3 linked regions of the Stegostoma tigrinum genome follow. The protein of the gene in region 3 purifies or fractionates together with the protein of the main gene of each other region. This does not show direct contact. Links are inferred from orthologs where the notes say so. Each region holds a gene or a part of one and is shown on either strand. Other genes may lie near its edges. The genes, in order: phf12b, kdm5a and gatad1.

Region 1 (7,178 bases), on a different chromosome or scaffold from region 3:
ACATTTTGAAGAGCAGGGAAATTACCCCAGAGTCTTGGCAATATTTAGCCTTCAACTGACACCTGAAACATTTCCTGGTTATTCTCACATCTGTTTGTAAAGCTTGACTTGTTACAATTACCACTGTATTTCTTACTCTACTACTGGTCTATTGGCTATAAAGCTAAATTGTCATGAAAGGCATAAAATTAATGCAAGTCCTCTTCATTTACAATAAAGTTTGACCTTCAATTAAAATTGCCCCAAGAATTAAAAGGAATAATTCAAAACATTTAATTAGGTTAATTAAGTGTTTAAAACATCAAAATAAGTGTTAAAGTTCCAAAACTTTAGAATCTGAATAGGCTATACATTTGGACACAATCATTCTCAACGACCTTAACAGCATAATAATGCAACACAAGAATTCCAAAACTCAACATAGCAAAGTGCTCCAAAGACTATGGGGAATAACAGCACTGGACAATCATATAACCACAATACTGATGACAAGATGGAGTTAAAGTACAGCAGACATAAAGGCATTAACAACTACATTTTTCTCCTGGAAGAACTCTAGAAATCTAACAAACCAGTTTATAAAGCAAGATGTCAATGGAAATTTAATAGATTATTCAGATATCAAAGTGATCTAACTTAGAAAGATATTGTCTGACCTAAATTTAAGTTGTCAAGTGCCAGTGTCTTGTAAAGTAGTACTTTTTACTGCTTGATATAGATAAATATTAAAATCTAGTGCGTTTTATTCGGTCAGTGAGATATTTACACTGACCATTCAAGCATTCTCATATTTAAAGTGAAAAGTTTAAATCCTCGATAAGCGCCAAAAAAATTAGAGATAAACTGACATTACAAGACTGAATGGAATAACTTTCATGTAATGCCTTTGTATAATCTTAAATCACAGGGATAACATGACTTTCGTGAGTTTTTTTTAAAAAGAGAATCTTGAAAATGATAAAACAATAAGCGAAAAAGTGTACCAGAGATTTATCAGAACTCCTCCACTTCTTTACAAAATTTCCAAGAGCCTTTCGAACTCAGTTTAAATCGGACACTAACCTCCAGAACCGAGAAGTCAACTAAAATGGCGCTCCGAGTAGAAAATATAATTTAAACGGAGGTCGCCATGTTGCGTATTTGCAAACACATTAAGTGAAGGAAAGGAAGGCATCCGGCTCGGTGCCCAGATGGGTGCTCAGGGACCAGGCCTATTTGTAGGAAACTATCCCTGAGGACAAACAAGGCCATGATGATGAGAAGCGGATAGGTGTGTTTAGTCACTGTGCCCCTATCCTACCCATCTTGCTACCATATACTTTAATGAGACCCTAACTGCAAAGTCAGAAGAGGGGTGCATTGGCAATGAAGATCCGAATGTGGTGACAGCAGAACCTCCTCCAATTAACGGGACAACCACTTGTTTAAGCGTGTATAGCTTCCTTCACCTTTCTAAAGTTCAGGTCCAGCTGCAGGATTCGCTTAGACCTCTCAAACGTGGAGCGGGGGCAGGGGGAGAGAAGAGAGCAGGACAAGGAAATCGTTTAGCCGCAACAACTGCAGTACAGAAAGCAGCCACTAAAACACAACCGAGGTCCACACACCTTGAGGCCAAACCTAGGAAACTACACCTAAAACCACACACCAGCCTGGGAAAGACAGCAGACAAAAAAAAACACACAAAAACCCAAGAAGGTTTAAACCAAAGATAACAAGGTATAGAGCTGGATGAAGCAGGCCGCTCTCTATCAAGAAACCCCCATCCCCAGTATCACAGATCCCCGAGTTAGGTGTCCCCCTCTGTAAGAGGGGCTGGAGGAAAGATCGACGCTTGCATCAAGTACTGACCAGCACTGGAGGTGGAAGGCGGCCGGGCAATGGTCGCAGCAGAGTAGGTCTCCCCCCTCCTTGCAGCTATCGCAAGTGTCGTGGTTGGTGGCCCGGCCGCTCCGCCTCGGCTCCTTCTCCAGCTTCTTGGCCTTCTTGTCGCTCTCCTCGCTCTTCGGAGGGGCCAACAACGCTTGGATTTTCTGCAGCGAAGAGAATAAAAACAGGAAGAGAAGGGAGAAGGGTTGGCGGGGGGGTCGTAAGATTAAACCATTTTCACCATGCAGGCCGAAAAAAGACTAGACCCAAAACGTTTGTTTATTTAACAAAAAAGACGGTTGAGAAAGATAGATGCCATTTGTATTGAGGTTTTTTTAAATAAGCAAAAAGAAATGAATTTTGCTGTTTTTAATCCTAATCCTGGCTGTGGATTTGTTTGGGCGCGATCAGCAGCTGAGAGGAGCAAAGAAAAAGCCTCACCTCCATCAGCCCTCCGGAGGTATCCAAGTCGTAGACAATCGTCTTGGTCTCCATTTTATCCCACATTCAACACGGCCGCTTTTCTTTTCCTTTTTTAAAAAAAAGGTGGCGAGGCAGCAGCAGACAAGTTTCCCCCCCCCCCTTGAGCTGTCACCAACACCCACAAAAAATCCGTAAGGGGGGGGAAAGAGACGAAAATGGGTTTTTGGGGGGTGGAAAAGGGTCGGGGGGGGGTATTCACCCCCCTCAAACCCTGGCTTAGCTTCCCACTTTCTTGGCCAAAACGAAGGCACAGATCGGGACCAGTGTCCGAGAAAAAACAATCAGAATAATAATAATAATAGTAATATTTATAAATCCACAAGAAATCCCGGCTCGCGATTCAACGGGCTCCAGCGACGACAGCAGCAGCAACAACGCAGCCAGGCCTCGACCAGGGCCTAACCGACACGAAGCCTTCCCTGGGCGACAATAATATTCGTGTCGAACCACTTGCTTTCCATCCGTGCGAAGAGACCCCCCCAGAGGCACCACCATGAAGCGGATAAATCCTGAAGCCGGACGGACTGTGGGGAGGGAGGAGAAGGCCACGGCTGCCGGAGGCGATCTGTCACCCGGTTCTCGGTGCTGTCTGAAGGCCGCCAGCACATACACAAACACTCGGAGGCCAGGCTGCTCGCTTTACATTTTTTCTCTCTCTGCCTCCAAGTTGGCGCAAACTTTCCACACACACACACACACACACCACACACGTACTGCGCAAGTGCCTGCTGGTTGATGGGGGGATGGGAGAGGAAGGGGAGGAAAAGAGAAGAAAGGGGCATACGACTGCGCACGCGCCGGGTCTTTCCAAGCAAGTAGCCAACGCGCCTGCGCAACCGGCCGTTGGGGTTTTTTGTTACTCTATCGCTGCGCCTGCGCGAAATGCGCACGCGTGCCCGTCGGAAGGGTGAGGGGCTGAGGCTCGCGGTCATCTCTTGACGTCAGCCCCCGACTCCCCGTCGCGTGATCGCGATCCGGGCAGCGCTCGGCCAATCCGCTTCCACTCCCTTTCTCCCTCCCGCCCTTCTGCCTCTCACCCTAACTTTACAAACCCTCCCCCTCCCCCACAATCCATTCATTGACAAGTCCGCATGCGCAGCCTACCTCCCGCACAACGACCCCCATTTACTGCGCATGTCCTGTGTCAAGACTGCGTTAGGCAGTAACGTGAGGATGCGGCTTCTTGGGAGCAGTAGTGTAAGTTACGAGGGTGCCTTGAATCTCGAGCAGCTTCCAAATCCTACAAACTTGCGAGTTGTTATTTGCACTTATTTGTCCTGTTCTTGACCTTAACTTGGAGTTGCCCTTAAGTTATTTGATTTTGTAGACATGGACGAAGGTGGTTTATGTGTACTCTCATTTCATATTTTATCATGTCAACATATGCTGTGACCTGTGATGAAAAGTGTCAGTAGTTTTGATTTCAGTTTCGTGTAACCTTTCACGAAATTAATCAAAGAGAGCCGTAATTTGAAATTAGACAAGATCATGAACCTTGCATTTTGCAGCCAATTCTGAGTAAAAAGTAACTACATTCACCATGACAACATGTATTTTGTATACAGTCTGTGGGATAGGAAAATGTCCTGAAGTGTTATATTGCACAAGAATTGAAAAAAAATCAGAAATATCAGGACAAAAACTTGGTCAAAAAGCTGACTGTCTACTGAAGTACAGTGAAAAATTTTGTTTACAAGCAGTACAGGCAGATCATAGTAAAGAAGGATTTACTTTGATCTATATGGGTTACATTGCACAGGTCATGTGCTAGGCGAAATCGATGTTTAGCAAGATCAACCTTATTTGAGACAAGAGAGTCCATTTATCAGTCTAATAACGGTCAGGCAAAAGCTGTTCCTGAACCTGATGGTGCGTGTGTTCAGGCTTCAGTATCTTCTGCCTGACAGAAGAGGTTGTAGGAGATCATTGCAGAAGTGCAATAGGTCTTTGCTGATGTTGGCTGCCTTTCCGCAGCAACCATGGAGTTGATGGATGGAAGGTTGGCTTCCATGATGTTTTGGACTGTGCACACAATCTTCTGTAGTTTCTTGTCATCCGAGGCAGAGCTGTTGCCGTACCAGGCCGTTATGCACCCAGACAGTATGCTTTCAATTTTTCATCTGCGGAAGTTGGTGAGCGTCCTTATGGGCATGCCAAATTTCCTGAGATGCCTGAGGAAGAAGAGTCACCTATGTGGGAAGTCCAGGACAGGTTGTCAGTTATCGTTACTTCGAGGAACTTGATGCTCACCACTCTTTCAACTTCAATTCTGTTGTTGTAGATGGGGGTGTGTCTCCTCCTTTCTTTCTGAAGCCAATATTCAGTTCTTTAGTTTTGCTAACACTGAAAAATAGGTTGGTCTCATTTCACCATGTCGCTAAGCCTCTATCTCCCTTCTGTACTTTGACTCATGGTTGTTAGATATCCGTCCTGCTACAGTGGTGTCGTCCATGAATTTGCAGATGACATTTGTTTGGAATTTGGCATCATAGCCATCAGTGTACATGGAGTACAATAGGGGGCTCAGGACACATACTTGTTGGGGGGGGGGGTCTCCAGCGTTGACTGTTATTGCAAAGAATGTACAGTTACCCATCTTCAGCTGTATATATTATGGAAAATCTGGATGAAACAAAATTGTAGAAGTGAGAGAAGGTTTCTCATAGCTTTGGGTCTTGATGCCTGGTTGTGAAGATTTGTGGATATGTAAGAGGCCAGAATTAGAGAAATGCTAATTTGGACGCAGATCTGAATGGGCAGCGGACTGAATCTTGATGGAAGTTTTAAGAATTTTTAAAACTGTGTCCTGTATCAAGATAGCTTGGTTTGTTTTCTTTTGACCTTGATTTTGGCTTTGGCTTTGGCTTTTGTGCAATGAACTTCTCCTATTAAACCCTGTGTACTTGTGTGTCAGTGAATGACCAGCAAATTAATTAAGATGTTAAGAAGTCTATTAAGCCAGGTTTCATTCTATGATCTGATTTGTTGAACAGTACAATCCACTGCAATCATAACATTCATGTGAAAAGCTATGTATTGTTCATGGCAAGAATCTCACCTCATTAAGTCTCATCAGCAGTTTACCTCTAACACCGTAAACTGAACCATGGTAACCTGATCAAGGAAAGAGAATAGTGGCAGAAATCTAACCGTAGCATAAGCTGGTAGTGATTGGCATTGCAGCACATAAATCAGAAAGATTGTGACTGTGAAGGGATTTGAATACAGGGATGAGAAATTTTTAATTTGAAGTGTTGATCATCAATATATAGTAGAGAGTAGAAGGGTAGTAAGTGCATTGGAAATAAGGCCTCTTCTGAAGCAGCAGAGTTTTAAACAAGGTCAAGCTTTTGAAGCGTGCAAAAAGAGTAGGTTACCAGACAGAATCGGAATGGGTGACTGTAGAGGTGACAAAAGCAGGGATAAATTTTCAGCAACAGCTCAATTATTTCTGGTTTTGCGCTGAGAATGGTGGCCTTTAATTTGGAAACAAATATTCAGTTGTGAATTCTGAAATTGAATCTTCCTTGGCCCGTGGCTGCTCAAGTTTTTCCTCCAAGGCCATCTGCAGCTTCCTGCACTGAAACTCAGCATTTTGCAGCAGCTATGCTGTAGCCAGTGGAATATCACTTCAGAGGAGCATCCGGACAGGAAAGAAGATATAGATTTCAGGAACTTTGCAAATATGCAGGCTGATTAGTTCAATTGTATATGCAATCTAAGTATTGATAGCATTTGGTACCATATCAGACTTTTAACCTGAGGGTCTCTCTGCGCGTATTAACATTTTGTTCTTTCCTAATCTCATGTCAGTGATGTCCAGTTTCCCACCGACCGGATAGAAACTAGATGGTGAGTTTTCCTGACATGAAAGTCAGAGTTGTTGCCTGGCAACTCTAGATCGCCACATATTCTTCTGGTCCTCTATCTTGGACAACATCCGAGGGAATATTTCATGGCAGAAAACATAGGGGGACTCCTGGTTAGACAAGCCTGGTGACATTTGTGGCGAGAGGGCACAGACATTCTAGATGTGTTCAGCACAGAAGTTGGTGCACCTTCCTCGGTTTGAACTCCCGTAGGGGTGAGGATGGTAGTCAGTGTTGATATAGAAGGTGCAGCCAGCTCTAGGGTCATTTTAGAGTAGACTTCTGGGGAGCCTATATGTAGCTCCTCCTCTGGCTAGATTTGTACTAGTTGGGGCCTCTCACTTGTGAGAAAGGGGCACTTGGACTTACCGTAAGGTCCCTTGTTCCTCTGTGGCATTGCTGTTGGTACTGGTTAGATTGATGGAGTATAGGCCTGTGCATAAATCTAGCTGGTGGTCTGTATGCTAGACTTGGGTCTCCATGACAATTGTCCATAGAGGCAGACAGACACTTCTGTGCCAAAGAAAGCACAGTACAAACAGCCTTGGTGGAATCCTCCAACCTTTGAGTTAGTTTGTCTCGTGCCTTCAACAAACCTGCTGGCTGCTTCTGTGTCTATTTGTGCATTTCGGTGAAGTTGTGATTTGTTGACCCTGTTGGGTCCCCTCCTACCAGAACCTGAGCAGGTGCCTGTTCTCCGGTAGTCATCAAAGTACCAGCAACTTTAGAGTAGTTCTTCCTTGGTCAACTGTGGAGATGTGGTAGTACTGTGCTTACCAACATGTCCTGCTGACTTTAATCCAGCTAAAATACCCGCTGATGTGTTAGAATCTGGGTTGGGAGAGGATGCAGTAGGCAGCCTAGCTAGTGCATCCTCTGAGGGAAACCATGACTACTTTCTCGAAGGTCAAGTAGATATCTTGTGGGGCCACCCTCTTGACAGTGGAAACCGTGCATGTT
Region 2 (7,833 bases), on a different chromosome or scaffold from region 3:
CACCTCCTCCCTCACCCCTATCCCAGGCCCCAAGACGACTTTCCATATTAAGCAGGTGTTCACCTGCACATCTGCCAATGTGGTATACTGTATCCACTGTACCTGGTGTGGCTTCCTCTACATTCGGGAAACCAAGCCGATGCTTAGGGATCGCTTTTCAGAACAGCTCCGCTCGGTTTGCAATAAACAACTGCACCTCCCAGTCGCGAACCATTTTTACTCCCCCTCCCATTCCTCAGACGACATGTCCATCATGGGCCTCCTGCACTGCCACAATGATGGCACCCGAAGGTTGCAGGAACAGCAACTCATATTCCGCTTGGGAACCCTGCAGCCCAATGGTATCAATGTGGACTTCATAAGATTCAAGATCTCCCCGTCCCCCACTGCATCCCAAAACCAGCCCAGCTTGTCCCCGCCTCCCTAACCTGTTCTTCCTCTCTCCTATTCCTTCCTCCCACCTCAAGCCGCACCTGCATTGCCTACCTACTAATCTCATCCCGCCTCCTTGACCTGTCCATCTTCCCTGGACTGTCCTATCCCCTCCCTACCTCCCCACCTCTTCTCTCCTCTCCACCTATCTTCTTTTCTCTCCATCTTCAGTCTGCCTCCCCCTCTCTCCCTATTTATTCCAGAACCCTCTCCGATGAAGGCTCTAGGCCCAAAATGTCAGCTTTTGTGCTCCTGAGATGCTGCCTGGCCTGCTGTGTTCATCCAGCTTCACACTGGTTATCTTGGATTCTCCAGCATCTGCAGTTCCCATTATCTCTGATTGCAGCTTTATAATACTTTGGTTAAGCCACACTTAGAGTATTGCATTCAATTCTGATTGCTACATTACAGGAAGGATGTGGAGGCTTTGGACAGGGTGCAGAAGAGGTTTACCAGGATCCTGCCTCGATTAAAGGGTCTGAGTTATCAGGAGAGGCTGGAAAAACTTGGGTTGTTTTCTCCGGAGTGGCAGAGGTTGAGGGGAGACTTGATAGCAGTCTATAAATAAGAGATGCATAGATAGTGTTGACAAGCAGAATCTTTTTCCCAGAATTGAAATGTCTAATACAGGGGGCATGCGTTTAAGGTGAGGGGGGAAGTTCAAAGGATACATGAGTGGCACATTTTTTACACAAAGTGTGTTGGAAGTTTGGAATGCATTGCTCGGTGTGGTGGTTGAGGCAGATATGATAGGGGCATTTAAGGGACTTTTAGATAAACAACAAATGGATGGATACAGACAAAAGGTAGACAGAAGGGATTAGTTTAATTTGTTGTCTTATGGGGCACAATATCATAGGCTGAAGGACCTGTTCACGTACTAAATAATTCCATGTTGCAGTCTACATGGACTTCATGAAGTTGGTTGGGTTCAGTTGATGGCATAGTTTGTGATGCACAGGAACGTTAATCATGTAGGTTCAATTCCTGTATTGGTTGAGGTCAACATGAAGATCATTTCTTTTCAAGCTCACCCTTCCCAGAATGTCATGACCTTCAGATTAAACTCACCACCAGTTGTCTCTCTCTAAAGACACAGCAGCCCTATGGGACTATAGTGACTTTGCCTTTACCCATATGGGCTTTAGTAACTTTTGGCAAGGTCTCTCATGTCAGAGCGGTTAACGATCTACAAGCCCATGGGATCCAGGGGAATTTGGCAATTTGAATCCAAAACTGGCTTAGTGGCAGGAAGCAGAGAATACTGGTTGAAGGGTATTTTTGTGACTGGAAACCTTTGTCCAGTAGCATATCACAGGGTCTGGTGCTGGGTCCCTTGCTGTCTACCATGCACATTAATGATCTAGGCCTGAACAAAGAAGGTATGATCAGTATGTTTGTAGATGACATGAAAATTGATGAACGTTGTAAGTAGCAAGGAAGAAAGACTGAGACAACAGAATGATATAGATAGACTGAACTGTGGCAAGTTAAGTTTAATCGAGAAAAGTGTGAGGTGATGCATTTTGGAAAGCAAAGCATGGAGAATGGTAGGATTATAGGACGTACGGAGGATCAGAGTTATCTTGCTGTGGATGTCCATTGATCCTTGAAGGTAACTGGGCAGGTTGATAAGATGGTGAAGAAGGCATATGGAATATTTGCCTTTATTAGCCAAACTAATGAATACAAGAGCAAGGAGGTGTACTGAAACTGTATTTAATATTATTTCAGCAACAGCTGGAGTACTATGTGCAGTTCTGGTCATCATATTATGGGAAGCACAGGTTTGAACCGGTTGTACTGAAGAAGTCATGCCAGACTCAGAATGTTAATTCTCTCGTTTTCTCCACAGATGCTGTCAGAGTTGTTGAGTTTATCCAACATTCTCTCTTTTTTTTTAAGATTTACAGCATACACTGTATCTTGCCTATATTTTCCATGCTGTACCCTGGCCTTGGCCAATTCAGATATAGGGCAGCACGGTGGCTCAGTGGTTAGTACTGCAGCTTCACAGCGCCAGTGATCTGGGTTCGATTCCAGCCTTGGGCGACTGTCTGTGTGGAGTTTGTACATTCTCCCTGTGTCTGCGCGGGTTTCCTCCAGGTGCTCCAGTTTCCTCCCAGTCCAAAGATGTGCAGTCTAGGTGGATCGGCCATGCTAAATTTCCTGTAGTGTTCACGGGTGTGTGGGTTATAGGGGGAAATGGGTCTGGGTGGGATTCTCCAAGGGGCGGTGTGGACTTGTTGGGCCGAAGGGTCTGTTTCCACACTGTAGGGAATCTAATCTAATACAGCAACATCAACATTTTGGTTTGGGACCCTTCATCAAGACTTTATAGGGGTCCTTGTGGTACAGTAGTACTGTCACTACTTCTGGGCTAAAAGGCCTGGGTTCAAGTTGAACCTGCTCCAGATATGTGTAGTAACATATGTGAACAAGTTGTTTGAAAGTATGTGCAGCAGGGATTATCACCAAAATCATTTCCCCAGTCAAAAAGGTACAATACTATGGTCCAAGTGCCTGAAAATAAAATTAGAATGGATGGATAAATTAACATGAACAGCTGAAAATCTGAAACAAAAGCAGAAATTTCAGTTTTGGAAGCATGAGTGGAGAGAAAACAGAACCAATATTTCGGGTCCAGTGACCCTTCTTCACAGCTGATAGTAACTAGGAAATGTGGTATACATGCTGAAGACACAGCGTGGGATGGGGCAGTAAGCAGATAGGTGGAGACAGAGACCAGAGGGAGAGAAACAAATTTAGACAGATAAAGGGATGGATGAAGGAGAAAAATCTGATAATAGGGACCACAAATGGGGGAAATTAATTGACTGTGCTGAAATCCAGCTGTAGTCATGACAGAGGCTGTGGTGTGATTGGTTAAAGAGTTTGGAAGGAGGTGTTCAGGGTTCTAAAATTCTTGAATTTGACTCCTGCAGACTACAGGGTTCCCAAGTGGAAATGACTTGCTGTTCTTCCAGCTTGTGCTGAGACTCGCTGGAACACTGCAGTGAGCCTGAGACAGAAATGTTGACCAGGGAACAGGTGCTGTGTTGAAGTGGCAGGCAACTGGAAGCTTGGTGTCATTTTTACAGACAGTAAAGTGCTTACCCAGTCTGTGTTTCACCTCCCCACAATGTGAGCAGCGAATACAGGCAACTAGATTAGGTAAATTGCATGTAAATCACTACTTCACCTGGAACGTGTGTCTGGAACTTTGGATAGTGAGGAGAGACTAAGTAAACGGGCAAGTGTTGTACCTTCTGTCATTGTATGGGAAGATGTGGGGGTGCAGGAAGGTGTCGGGAATAGAAACTGAACCAAAGTGTCCCAGAGGGAACATTTCCTGTGAAATGCTGACAACAGAGAGGAGACAAATATGTGTCTGGTGGTAGCATCCCACTGGAGGTAGCAGAAATGGTGGCTTACGATCCTTTGGTTGCAGACGCTGGTGGGTGAGGAAAGGAGACCCTTTTAGTGGGAGGAGAGAGTACAGGTGAGGCCAGAAGAGTTGGAAATGAGTTAAACAGGGCTAAGGGCCCTGTTCTCCAACTCTGTTGCGGCTGTTCTGACGATGTCACGTTCTGCAGAGGAACCTCATAATTTTCACATTTTCCCTTAACCAAGAATTCCCAATCACCATGGTTGACAGAGCCCTTAGTCTTGTCCGACACACCTCCCTCCCTTCGTCTTCAGCATTTATGACACCTTTTCCCAGCTTCAAACAGTTCTGAAGAAGGGTCGCTGGACTTGAAATGTTAACTCTGGGAACCATCAATTTAAGTCATCAGTTCAGAAAAGTCTTTATCCAGAAAGTGGTGAGAATGTGGATTTTGGTACCGCGGGAAGAGATTAAAATGAATGATTGGATGTGATGTACGGAAAGCTCGACAAGCACTTGAAGGGGGAAGGATAGCCTTGACTGGAACTGATTGCCCTGTTTTATATATAATCCGAAGGGCTGTAAGAATGGATGTTCGAATAAATTATATACCAACTGTCGACAGGAAATTGGATAAACACTTCAGAAAGTAAAGTCCTAAAGAAAAGGGATTGGATTCGGGTTTGTTCATTGTTTCTCTCTCTACTCACAAGCTACAGCATTTTCTGTTTTCATTCCGGAGCCGAGGACCTTGTGACCTGCTGTCCTCGGAATCTGAGGCTGTGGTCCTCAACCAATCAGAAGGTGGGACCGTGTAATAACAACCAATAGTAATTGATCGGGGGCGTTGGGGCGGGGCCATATCCAATAATACTGCAGCTGCTTTGCCGCGACAGCCAATCACCGGATCGATGAGCCCTGTAAAAACAAGTGTGTGTGAAATCTTGCTTCGCAACCCGCGAGCGGAAGTGGTGCGCGCGCCTGAGGACAGTCGCGCGCTTGCTTTGACCTTTCACCCCCACCCGCCCTCATCCTCAGGGACTGGGCCTAGGTTGCTCTCTCTGTGTGTGAGAGGCTCCCGTCGCTGCAGCGGGCGCCGGGCTCGCACTGAGCTGCAGCAGTCACCGCGTTCCTGGGTGACGCCAAGGCCCAGGCCGCGGTCTGGCGCCGAGGGACCACTCCGGGGTTGGAGCCCGGAGCCCCGGCCTCCCTTTGTCTCGGAGATTGCCTGCCGCTGCTGCCGCCATCATGTGGATATTCTCGGAGTTCATCCCGCCTCCTGAGTGCCCGGTATTCGAGCCGAGCCGGGAAGAGTTCCGGGAGCCGCTCGGGTACATCAACAAGATCCGACCCATCGCTCAGAGGAGCGGCATCTGCAAGATTCGCCCGCCCAAGGTAAATAAAAACCCTGTCTTCCCACCGCGCATCGACAGTAACTCGGGGGGAGGGCTGCGCTCGGCCTGCAACCACTTAAGAGGCCGTCGGCGGGGTAGAAGGACAGATCCCCGTGATGTGGAACCAGGAGGCCGCGATCCAACTTAATGGCGGCCGCCTCCTCTTCACAGACAACAAGGAAAACAACCCCCCCCCCCCCCCCCCCCCCCCGAGGGGTCTAGGCCCGAAACGTCAGCTTTTGTGCTCCTGAGATGCTGCTTGGGCTGCTGTGTTCATCCAGCTTCACACTCTGTTGTCAGGGAATCAAACCCTGATTGCAGCGGGTTCAGGAACGGGTGTAGTCTATCTGGAGAGAAACTGGTGTTGGGCGTCTGCCTAGAGTTTGAGTTCTCAGCCGTGGGTCGAGTCAATTTTTAAACAAAATTAATCAAGTCTACCTCTTCAAGCTGACAGTTTTGCCAACACCCCCGGAGGAAATCTGGCTATTTCTGCTATTCACTTAGGTTTCTCATCAGCACTTTTATTGAGCAGTGATCAGAGTCAGCCACGTTATTGTGGGTCTGGATGATAGTTTCCTTCTCTAAAAGATGTCAGTGAACGAGATGAGTTTATCAGGCAATCTGCAATGGATTTGTGGTCACAATTAGATTTGCAATTCTGGATTTTTTAAATTTCAAATTCCACTTTCTTCTGTGGTGAGATTTAATCAGTCCCCCAGAACCTTGAGGAAATGGTTGGGGGGGGGGGGGTGGTGGGTGGAGAGAGGGGAAGGAGGTCCTGAAATAAATAGGAAGAGAGGTGGAAAGATGACTAGTCTAAAATCACTAGTCAAAATGGTGGGGATGGAGCCAGTAAAGGTGAGTGTAGGTTGGGTGGAGATACCTCAGTCCAGGGAGGACACACCTCAGTCCAGGGAGGACACAGGTCAGAGGGGGTTGGCTGAGGATATGAGGTGGGAGGAAGGACAGTTAGGGAGGCAGGGATAATGTAGGTGGAGGGGAGATTTTGAAGCTTGTGAAGCCCACGTTGATACCATTGGATTGCAGGGTTCCCAAGTGGTCCTTGAGAAATGAGGATGTCTGAGATGATTGGGAGTAGAATGCCTCATCCTGGGAGCAGCTGCTGCAGAGAAGGAATAGGGGATGGCATTTTTGCAGGAAGGTGGGTGGGAGGAGGTGTATCCTAGGTAGCTGTGGGAGTCCACCCCCACCCCGTCTCCTACCTGCTAACCTCATCCTGCTCCCTTGACCTGTCTGTCCTCCTGGGATTGACCCAGTTCCCCTCTAACTCTGCACCTACACTCACTTTTTTACTGGCTCCATTCCCACCACTCTGACCTGTCTGACTCCTCTCCACCTATCTTCTCTTCTATCCACCTCCTCCCCTCCCTAGTTATTTCAGAACCCCCCTCCCCACTTCTGAAGTAGTGTCTAGGCCTGAAACATCAGCTTTCCTGAATTTATGATGCTGCGTGGCCTGCTGTGCTCGTCTAGCACTACACCTTTCTATAGAACAATACAGCACAGAACAGGCCGTTCAGCCCTAAGTGTTGTGCTGACCTGTGAACTAATCCAAGCCCATCCCCTACACTAGCCCATTGTCATCCATATGCTGATCCAAGGACTGTTTAAATGCCCCTAATGTGGCTGAGTTAACTACGTTATCTTGGATTCTGCTGTTCCTACTGTCTCTGAAACAATCCTGTGGAACATTACCTGGGTCTCTGGATTAACAGCCCAATGATATTACTAGTAGGCTACCACCTCCCCAATAATTCCACTTTTTTATCATTAACCCTGATTGTTCTGTTTCTAATGTTTATCCAGTTGTCTTAGAAAGTTATTTCTTTCTGCTACCCCTGAATAAGAACCAGTCCTTTCCAGTTTACCATCATTTGGTGTAAGAAAAAATCTTTCCACTGGTTCTTACGTGGGATTCTTTAAGCCTGGCATCTTGGTTGCTGATACTGCTGCCATTGAAATGGAAATAGTTTAGCCTTTGTTATGCAACCTCAGTTTTATCACCCTAGTTAAATTGTCCCCTAAACTCTGCTTCAAAGGCTACAAAGCTTCTTATTTCTCTACATAAACTGAAGTCCTTCGTGATGTTCCTGGAAAAACCCTTGATTCATTTTATTTAGTCACTGGATGAGGGTGTCACTAATCAGGCAGCACTTATTGCCCAAGGGCAGTTGAGTCAACCACATTGCTGTGGGTCTGGAGTCACATGTTGGCCAGACCTGGAAAGGATGGCATAAGTGAACCTGTTAGTTTTTTCTGACAATTGGCAATGGGTTCATGATCATCATTTAGATTCTTAATTCCAGATATTTTATTGAATTTAAACCTTCCCCCCCCCCTTCCCTGCAGAAGGCTTGATTTGTTGATGATAGGGACCTGCTTTATTTATTTACTTTATCACTTGAAGTCTGCATTATTAACTCAGTGTTTGACATCTGTAACTTTCTTTGGTGATCAGCTGGCTTGTTGAAATGTTGCAGTAGATATGGTGAGGGTATTGTGCTGTAAGACAGGGAGTTCCAGAAATAGATTGGTTGTATTTACAGGACACAAGTATGTGTCTTAGAGACTGACTGGTAGCATTGGACTTGTGCACTG
Region 3 (7,334 bases):
GATCATCTGAAAAACTGAAAATTTGAAAAATTATTTAATAGACAACACTATAATATAAGCTTAGGACCACTGTCTTACCAATTGAAGAAATGTTTTCTTCCCTTCCCCACCTAATCTTAAATATGCCGATGTTGTACTTTTTTAATAGACTTACGTTTTTTAATTTGAATATATGTCTACGCCCCTTTCCTTTTGTAGAAACTTTCTTTTCGGCAGGTGGCATGGACCTATATTTTGTGTTCCGTAACCTTGCAGACCGCCTATGAATTTCTTGCTTTGCCTGTCAAAACAGAAGAGAAAATAAACAAGGACAAACACAGTATCGGCAAAAAATTCATAGTTACTCCAAAATTATTTATGAACAAGGAACAGTATGCTGTCTATCTCCTTGAGCTTGCTCCTTTATTCAATAAGATCACAGGGGTTGAATTTTAATCTCAACTCCACAATCTTGCTTACTCCTGAATTCATTATGGAATAACATAACTTCAACAGAATAATGAACACAGTCCAGTACAATAAATTCATTCTCGAAGTAAAAAGAATACTTGCGGTCACGTAGCGAAAAAGGCATCTCTTAGCGTGAGATAACACGTGTGAAGCTGGACGAACACAGCCGGCCAAGAAGAAGGGTCCCGACCTGAAACTCCTCTGATGCTACTTGGCCTGCTGTGTTCATCCAGCTTCACACCGTGTCATCTCAGATTCTCCAGCATCGGCAGTTCCTACTATCTCTCTTCGTCTGAGTTTATCTGTAGTTATTCAGTGACAGCACGTCATTCGTCTCATTATGCTATTAATACTGAAGAAACACCGACATAGATCAAGTTTATTTTGCTGAAACCACTTCAATAATGGCCTTAGAAAATAAAATATCAAAATGCAGAGACAGTAGGAACTACAGGTTCTGCAGAATCTGAGATAACAAGGTATAAAGCTGGATGAACACAGCAGGCCAAGGGTCTAGGCCCAAAACGTTAGTTTGCCTGCTCCTCTGATGCTACTTGGCCTGCTGTGTTCATTCAGCCCTACACCTTGTTATATCAAAATACGAGATGGCTTTGAAAAGGAAACTAAATGGGGGCATCCATAGAAAGTAAATCTAAAACTATACAAGATATTAATCAGACCAGAGCTGGAACGCTGAATAGTTTTGGGACCCTTTCTGGGATTAACAGATCAGCCAAGATCTCAATGAATGCAGGAACAGACTCTATGGGCAGGACAAGTCATATTACCATAGGACAGAAATCTCTCAATGAGCTAAGCTCATAGAAGTTCCTATAACTTTCACTTCTAGTTGGTATTGAATCAATTCAACCAGAAAGTGGAATACTAAGACTACTCAAACCTGCTGGACTGGATGAAAAATGTATCCAGTTGTTTAGATTGGGAAATCCATGTATGGATGTTTGATAAGAGCCAATCAACCTCAATAATAGGTCTGATGAAAAGATACAAACCTGAAATATTAATCGTGTTTTACCTTCTGCAGATACTGCCAGGTCTACTAAAGTACTGCAAGCATTTTCTGTTTTTACATTGACTAAACAGCCAGTTAATGCTGACCATTAAGGCAGGAATTTCAACAGCATTTGAGGATCACATCTTTCATCCCTGTCCCCAGTTTCTCATAAAAGATAAATATTTCAGGTTCGATTAAGCTCTAACATGTCATTAAACATGATATTATATGTCTTCACACTCTGCTGTGCAAAGGCAAAAACAGTGACTGCCCAGTCCTGATATGACTCCCAGTCTCCCTCTTCTGAAGTTACCCCCACACCCTGGAGTCCATGGAAAAGGAACATGTGGTGTCCACTGAAACAGTCAAGGACTTCTATGGCTGTTGGAAAATGGAGGGGCTCCAATGTATTATTACTTTCTGAAAAGACAACTTAATTTGAGCTTTGAGATAGTAGGAACTGCAAATGCTGGAGAATCTGAGCTAACAAGGTGTAGAGCTGGATGAACACAACAGGCTTAGGCAGCATCAGAGGAGCAGGGAAGCTGATGTTTCAGGTCTGGAAGCTTTGTTAACTTACATTTTGAACCTCCAGTGCCCCTTTTAGGTTTATGAAAGCTTTAATCTGATTTAACCGCCATCTTGACAGAGGGAATGGACAGGGTGAAAAGTTAAGGTTTTACTCCACAGGGTAGGAAAGTCCAAAACTAGAGAGCATTGGTTTAAGATGAGAGGGGAAAGATATAAAAAGGACCTAAGGGGCAAATTTTTCACAATGAGGGTGGTGCAAAGACGGAACGAGCTGCCAGAGGAAGTGATGGAGGTTGGTACAATTACAACATTTAAAAGGCATCTGGACGGATCTGTGAGGGTTGAGAGGGATTATAGTATAAATTCGGACAAGTGGTACTAGATTTATTTAGGATATCTGCTCGGCATCTACGAGTTGGACCGAAGAGTCTGTTTCCGTGCTTTACAGCTCTGATTCTGTTTGATTTAACTGATGAAAGAAGTACTCCTAGTCTCAGGCTGGCGCCTCTTCCCCAGGTCATCCTCTACCCTGGACAGGAATTTGAAACAGCTCAGAGCGGCCTTCTCTTCAGGCTTCTCCCAGCCTCAGAGATAATGGGAACTGCAGATGCTGGAGAATTCCAAGATAATAAAATGTGAGGCTGGATGAACACAGCAGGCCAAGCAGCATCTCAGGAGCACAAAAGCTGACGTTTCGGGCCTAGACCCTTCATCAGAGAGACCCTTCTCCCAGCCTCACCTGTTTGCCGCCTCCGCCACTGCCGCCACCGTTGCTCTGCTGAGCAGCCGGAGCTGATCCGGACCCCGCGGTCAAGCCTGAAACGGAGACGGGTCCGGGGCTTTTGCCAGCGCAGTTGTTGCAGATGATCTCGCCCTGACTGCTCTTCCTCCACATGGCCGAAGAATTGGCCTTGCACACACTGCAGGACGGCTTCAGACCCAACGGCATGTTCTCCGCGTCTCCAGCAACAACCCACACAGACGCGGCCTCCCCTCCCCAGATACAACGGGATCGCCACCGCCCCACCTACTGGTGGGAGGACCGAGTGACCGTGACCGTGACCGCCACCGCCACCGCCCAGAGCCTTCGTACAGGAGGGAGGACCGAGTGCCGGCGCTCCCCTAGCGGCGGGAGGGCCATCTAACTGCGTCCCCCCGCCCCCGAGAGGGAGGAGGCGACCGGGACGCAGTGAAGAACTGGGAAACGCCGCCCCCTTGCCGCGAGAGGATTAAATTCGCATGGAAATGAATCATAGAATTGTTACCGCGCGGACCATTTGGCCCATTGTACCCGCACAGGCTCTTCAAAGTAACATCATTTACTTAGTGCCATCCGCCTGATTTTCGCACATAACCTTTGCAAAGTATTTCTATCCAAATAATCATCCAGTGACTTCTTGAATAGCTCATTCGAACCTACCTCCACCACAGTGGCAGGCGGTGCATTCCAAACCTGAATTTTGGATTGTTACATGTTATTTTTCCAACGTTACAATGATCACTATCTCCTAAATGATCTCCTACTGACACTTGATCCACCTCATTTCCAAGGAGAGTCTAACTCTTTACCAAGGACCAGGTACAACAAAACTCACTCTTTCTTGTTGGACCCAACATTTATCTCCTAAACATGTTGAAAGGGGGGGGGGGCAGATTTTTCTTTAATTACCCAACTCTATGCTAGGAATCTGAAGTCCCTCATAAAAACAACTCATAGAATGGTGGTAATAAAGTGTGGAGCTGGATGAACACAGCAGGCCAAGCAGCATCTTAGGAGCACAAAAGCTGACGTTTCGGGCCTAGACCCTTCATCAGAAAAGGGGGATGGGGAGAGGGTTCTAAAATAAATAGGGAGGTAGGGGGAGGCGGATCGAAGATGGATAGAGGAGAAGATAGGTGGAGAGGAGACAGACAAGTTAAAGGGACAGGGATGGAGCCAGTAGAAGTGAGTATAGGTGGGGAGGGGTTAGGTCAGGTCAGGGAGGATGGACAGGTCAAGGGGGTGCGATGAGTTTAGTAGGTAGGAAATGGGGGTGCGGCTTGAAGTGGGAGCAAAAGATAGGTGAGAGGAAGAACAGGTTAGGGAGGCAGGGACGAGCTGGGCTGGTTTTGTTAGGCAGTTGCGGGGAGGGGAGATTTTGAAGCTTATGAAGTCCACATTGATACCATTGGGCTGCAGGGTTCCCAAGCAGAATATGAGTTGCTGATCCTGCAACCGTCGGGTGACATCATTGTGCCAATACAGGAGGCCCAGGATGGACGTGTCGTCTAAGGAATGGGAGGGGGAGTTGAAATGGTTTGCGACTGGGAGGTGCAGTTGTTTGTTGTGAGCCAAGCGTAGATGTTCTGCAAAACGATTGCCAAACCTCCACATGGTTTCCCCAATGTAGAGGGAGCCATAACGGGTACAGCGGATGCAGTATACCACATTGGCAGATGCGCAGGCTGCACAAGGGATCCAGGGAGAGCTAGCTAATTGTACACAGAATTGGATTAAGAGTAGGAGACAGAGATTGGCAGTAGAGGTAACACAGTGTGGAGCTGGAGGAACACAGCAGGCCAGGCAGCGTCAGAGGAGCAGGAAAGCTGATGTTTTGGGTTAGGATCCTTAGGGGCAGCACGGTGGCTCAGTGGTCGGCACTACAGCCTCACAGCACCAGGGGCCCGGGTTTGATTCCAGCTTCAGGTAACTATGTGTGCGGAGTTTGCACATTCTCCCCGTGTCTGCGTGGGTTTCTTCTGGGTGCTCCGGTTTCCTCCTACAGTCCACAGATGTGCAGGCTAGGTGGATTGGTCATGCTAAATTGCCTGTAGTATTCAGGGGTGCGTGGATTATAGGGGGATAGGTCTGGGTGGGATGTCGCAAGGGGCAGTGTGGACTTGTTGAGCGGAAGGGCCTGTTTCCACACTGTAGGGAATCTATTCTTCAGAAATTCAAAACATCAGCTTTCCTGCTCCCTTGATGCTGCCAGGCCTACTGTGTTCCTCCAGCTCCACACTATTATCTCTGATTCCAGTATCAGCAATTCTCATTATTTCTTGGCAGTAGAGGGTGTTTTTCAGACTGGAGGCCTATGACCAGTGTGCCACAAGCAGTGATGCTGGGTCCACTGTTGTTTGTCATTTGTATTGATGATTTGGAGGGGAATACAACAGGCATAGTTAGTAAATTTGCAGATGACACCAAAATTGGTGGTACAGCAGACAACAAAGATGATTATCCAACAGTACAATGGAACCTTGATCAACTGGGTCAGTGGGCTGAGTTGTCGCAGAAGGAGTTTAATGCAGATAAATGTGAATTGTTGCATTTTGCTCAGTGTTGTTGAACAGAGAGACCAAGGGGTACAGATACATTGTTCCTTGAAGGTGGCATTACAGGTGAACAGGATGATGATGAAGGCAGCATTTTGCACACTTGCCTTCATTGGTCAGAGGACTGAGCGCAGGGATCGGCCGTCATGTCACAACTATAATTCTGGTCGTCCCAGAAAAGGGTGTAGAAAAGATCTACAAGGATGTTGTTTAAACTGAAGGGTTAGAGTTGCAAGGAAAGGCTGGGATTTCTTTTCCTGAAGAGTGGGAGGCTGTGGGGGTGACTTTATAGAGGTTTATAAAATTATGATGGGAATAAATAAAGTGAACAGCCAAAGTCTTTTACCGAGGGTAGGCAAGTTGAAAACTGCAGGGCATAAGTTTAAGGTGAGGGGGGAAAACAAATTTAAAAGGGATCAGAAGGACAACTGTTTCCACACAGATGGTGGTACACATATGGAACGAACTGCCAGAGGAAATGGTAGAGACAGATACAATTACAACATTTAAAAGACATTTGGACAAGTACATGGTTAAGAAAGGCTTAGAGGGATATAGGCCAAACTTTGGCAGATAGGACTAATTCAATTTAGGAAACCTGATCAGCAAGGACGAGATAGGCTGAAGGGCCTGTATCCATGCTGAATACCTCTGATTCCTATTTGTGTACTCATTTGTACGTAACACTGGGTCGAGGTTTATTTGGACTGTTTATTTTGAGGGGAGAGCGATAGAGGTTTTCAAAATCACGAGGGATCTAGACAGAATAGCCACTGAGAAACTGTTCCATGTTGATTACAGGACTGAGAACCAGATGGCACGGATTTTAAGAGATAATGGGGACTGCAGATGCTGGAGAATTCAAAGATAATAAAATGTGAGGCTGGATGAACACAGCAGGCCAAGCAGCATCTCAGGAGCACAAAAGCTGACGTCTCTGATGAAGGGTCTAGGCCCGAAACGTCAGCTTTTGTGCTCCTGAGATGCTGCTTGGCCTGCTGTGTTCATCCAGCCTCACATTGGCACGGATTTTAAACTGGTTTCCAAAAGCAGCAAATATGAGATGAGAAAACGTTTTCAATAGGTAGTTGGTCTGGTCTAGAATGAATTGCATGGAAGCATGGTAGATGTGGGTTCAATGGAGGCATTCAAGAGAACATTGAATTGGAAACAATAATCATCCAATATTCAGGGTAACAGGGAACAGGCAGGTATTTAGCAATGCTTAGAGAGCTGTTGCAGTCACAATGGATTGAGTGGCTTTCTTCTTCACCCTAACATTTCTGTCACAGTCCTGTGGAAGGATCACCGCACCTGAAATGTTAACTCTGTTTTTTCCTTCACCGATGCTGCCAGACCTGCTGAGCTTTTCCAGTAACTTTGTTTTTATTTCTGTCACCGTGTCATGCATTATTCTCTCATCATTTCTCTGTAGCTGCTGAAATGGTGTATCACCTCTCCTTACTACTACAGTTTCATCATCCACAGTGTTGTGCTTTAGTGTTAATTACAATCTGTTCTGCATAAAGTTTATGCTTTAGTGGCATTTGAGTTTTAAATGTTTTGACACTTCATGGTGTTGCAGGATACTGCTACTCAATCTTCCTCAGATAATTTCAAACTGTTACAATGCAAACAGCTCTCAAAAGAACACATCCGCTATCAGGAATTCACCTGGTGTTCCTCAAACAAACTGTTGGTAATACTCATAATTCAGAAAGCATCAATGCGTAATGACAGAGCAATGTTTCAGGTTGACTATCTTTTCTACTGATCTGAACTGTTAACTCAGTTTATCGCTCCAAAGATGCTGCTTGACCTGCTGGAGTATTTTCTAGTACCTAGTTTATGTTTTATATTCCAACCATTTCCACGTTCAGATTTCATATTAATAGTCTACAATACATCTAGCAATTGTCTCAGTGCTCTTGGTGGGAACAGTGTGTACAAATTGGCTGCAGGTTCCTCCAATAAAACTATGATTACATATCAAAAGTACTCAGATGTACATCTTACCTCCCTT

Evidence for each region.
Region 1: the proteins of gatad1 (region 3) and phf12b purify together in Homo sapiens (affinity purification with mass spectrometry; 7 studies listed by BioGRID and IntAct, with this or other methods). This does not show direct contact. The link is inferred for Stegostoma tigrinum from reciprocal best matches to the Homo sapiens genes GATAD1 and PHF12.
Region 2: the proteins of gatad1 (region 3) and kdm5a purify together in Homo sapiens (affinity purification with mass spectrometry; 6 studies listed by BioGRID and IntAct, with this or other methods). This does not show direct contact. The link is inferred for Stegostoma tigrinum from reciprocal best matches to the Homo sapiens genes GATAD1 and KDM5A.

The regions. Positions count from the first base shown.
Region 1 is NC_081380.1:28,534,025-28,541,202, forward strand, and holds the start of phf12b (PHD finger protein 12), read right to left. Parts: upstream 3,107-7,178; 5' UTR 2,374-3,106; coding exon 2,308-2,373; intron 2,031-2,307; coding exon 1,849-2,030; intron 1-1,848.
Region 2 is NC_081371.1:279,988-287,820, reverse strand, and holds the start of kdm5a (lysine-specific demethylase 5A), read left to right. Parts: upstream 1-4,819; 5' UTR 4,820-5,068; coding exon 5,069-5,215; intron 5,216-7,833. UniProt on the Homo sapiens protein: Histone demethylase that specifically demethylates 'Lys-4' of histone H3, thereby playing a central role in histone code. Does not demethylate histone H3 'Lys-9', H3 'Lys-27', H3 'Lys-36', H3 'Lys-79' or H4 'Lys-20'.
Region 3 is NC_081355.1:108,518,938-108,526,271, forward strand, and holds the start of gatad1 (GATA zinc finger domain-containing protein 1), read right to left. Parts: upstream 3,083-7,334; 5' UTR 2,946-3,082; coding exon 2,736-2,945; intron 281-2,735; coding exon 155-280; intron 1-154. UniProt on the Homo sapiens protein: Component of some chromatin complex recruited to chromatin sites methylated 'Lys-4' of histone H3 (H3K4me), with a preference for trimethylated form (H3K4me3).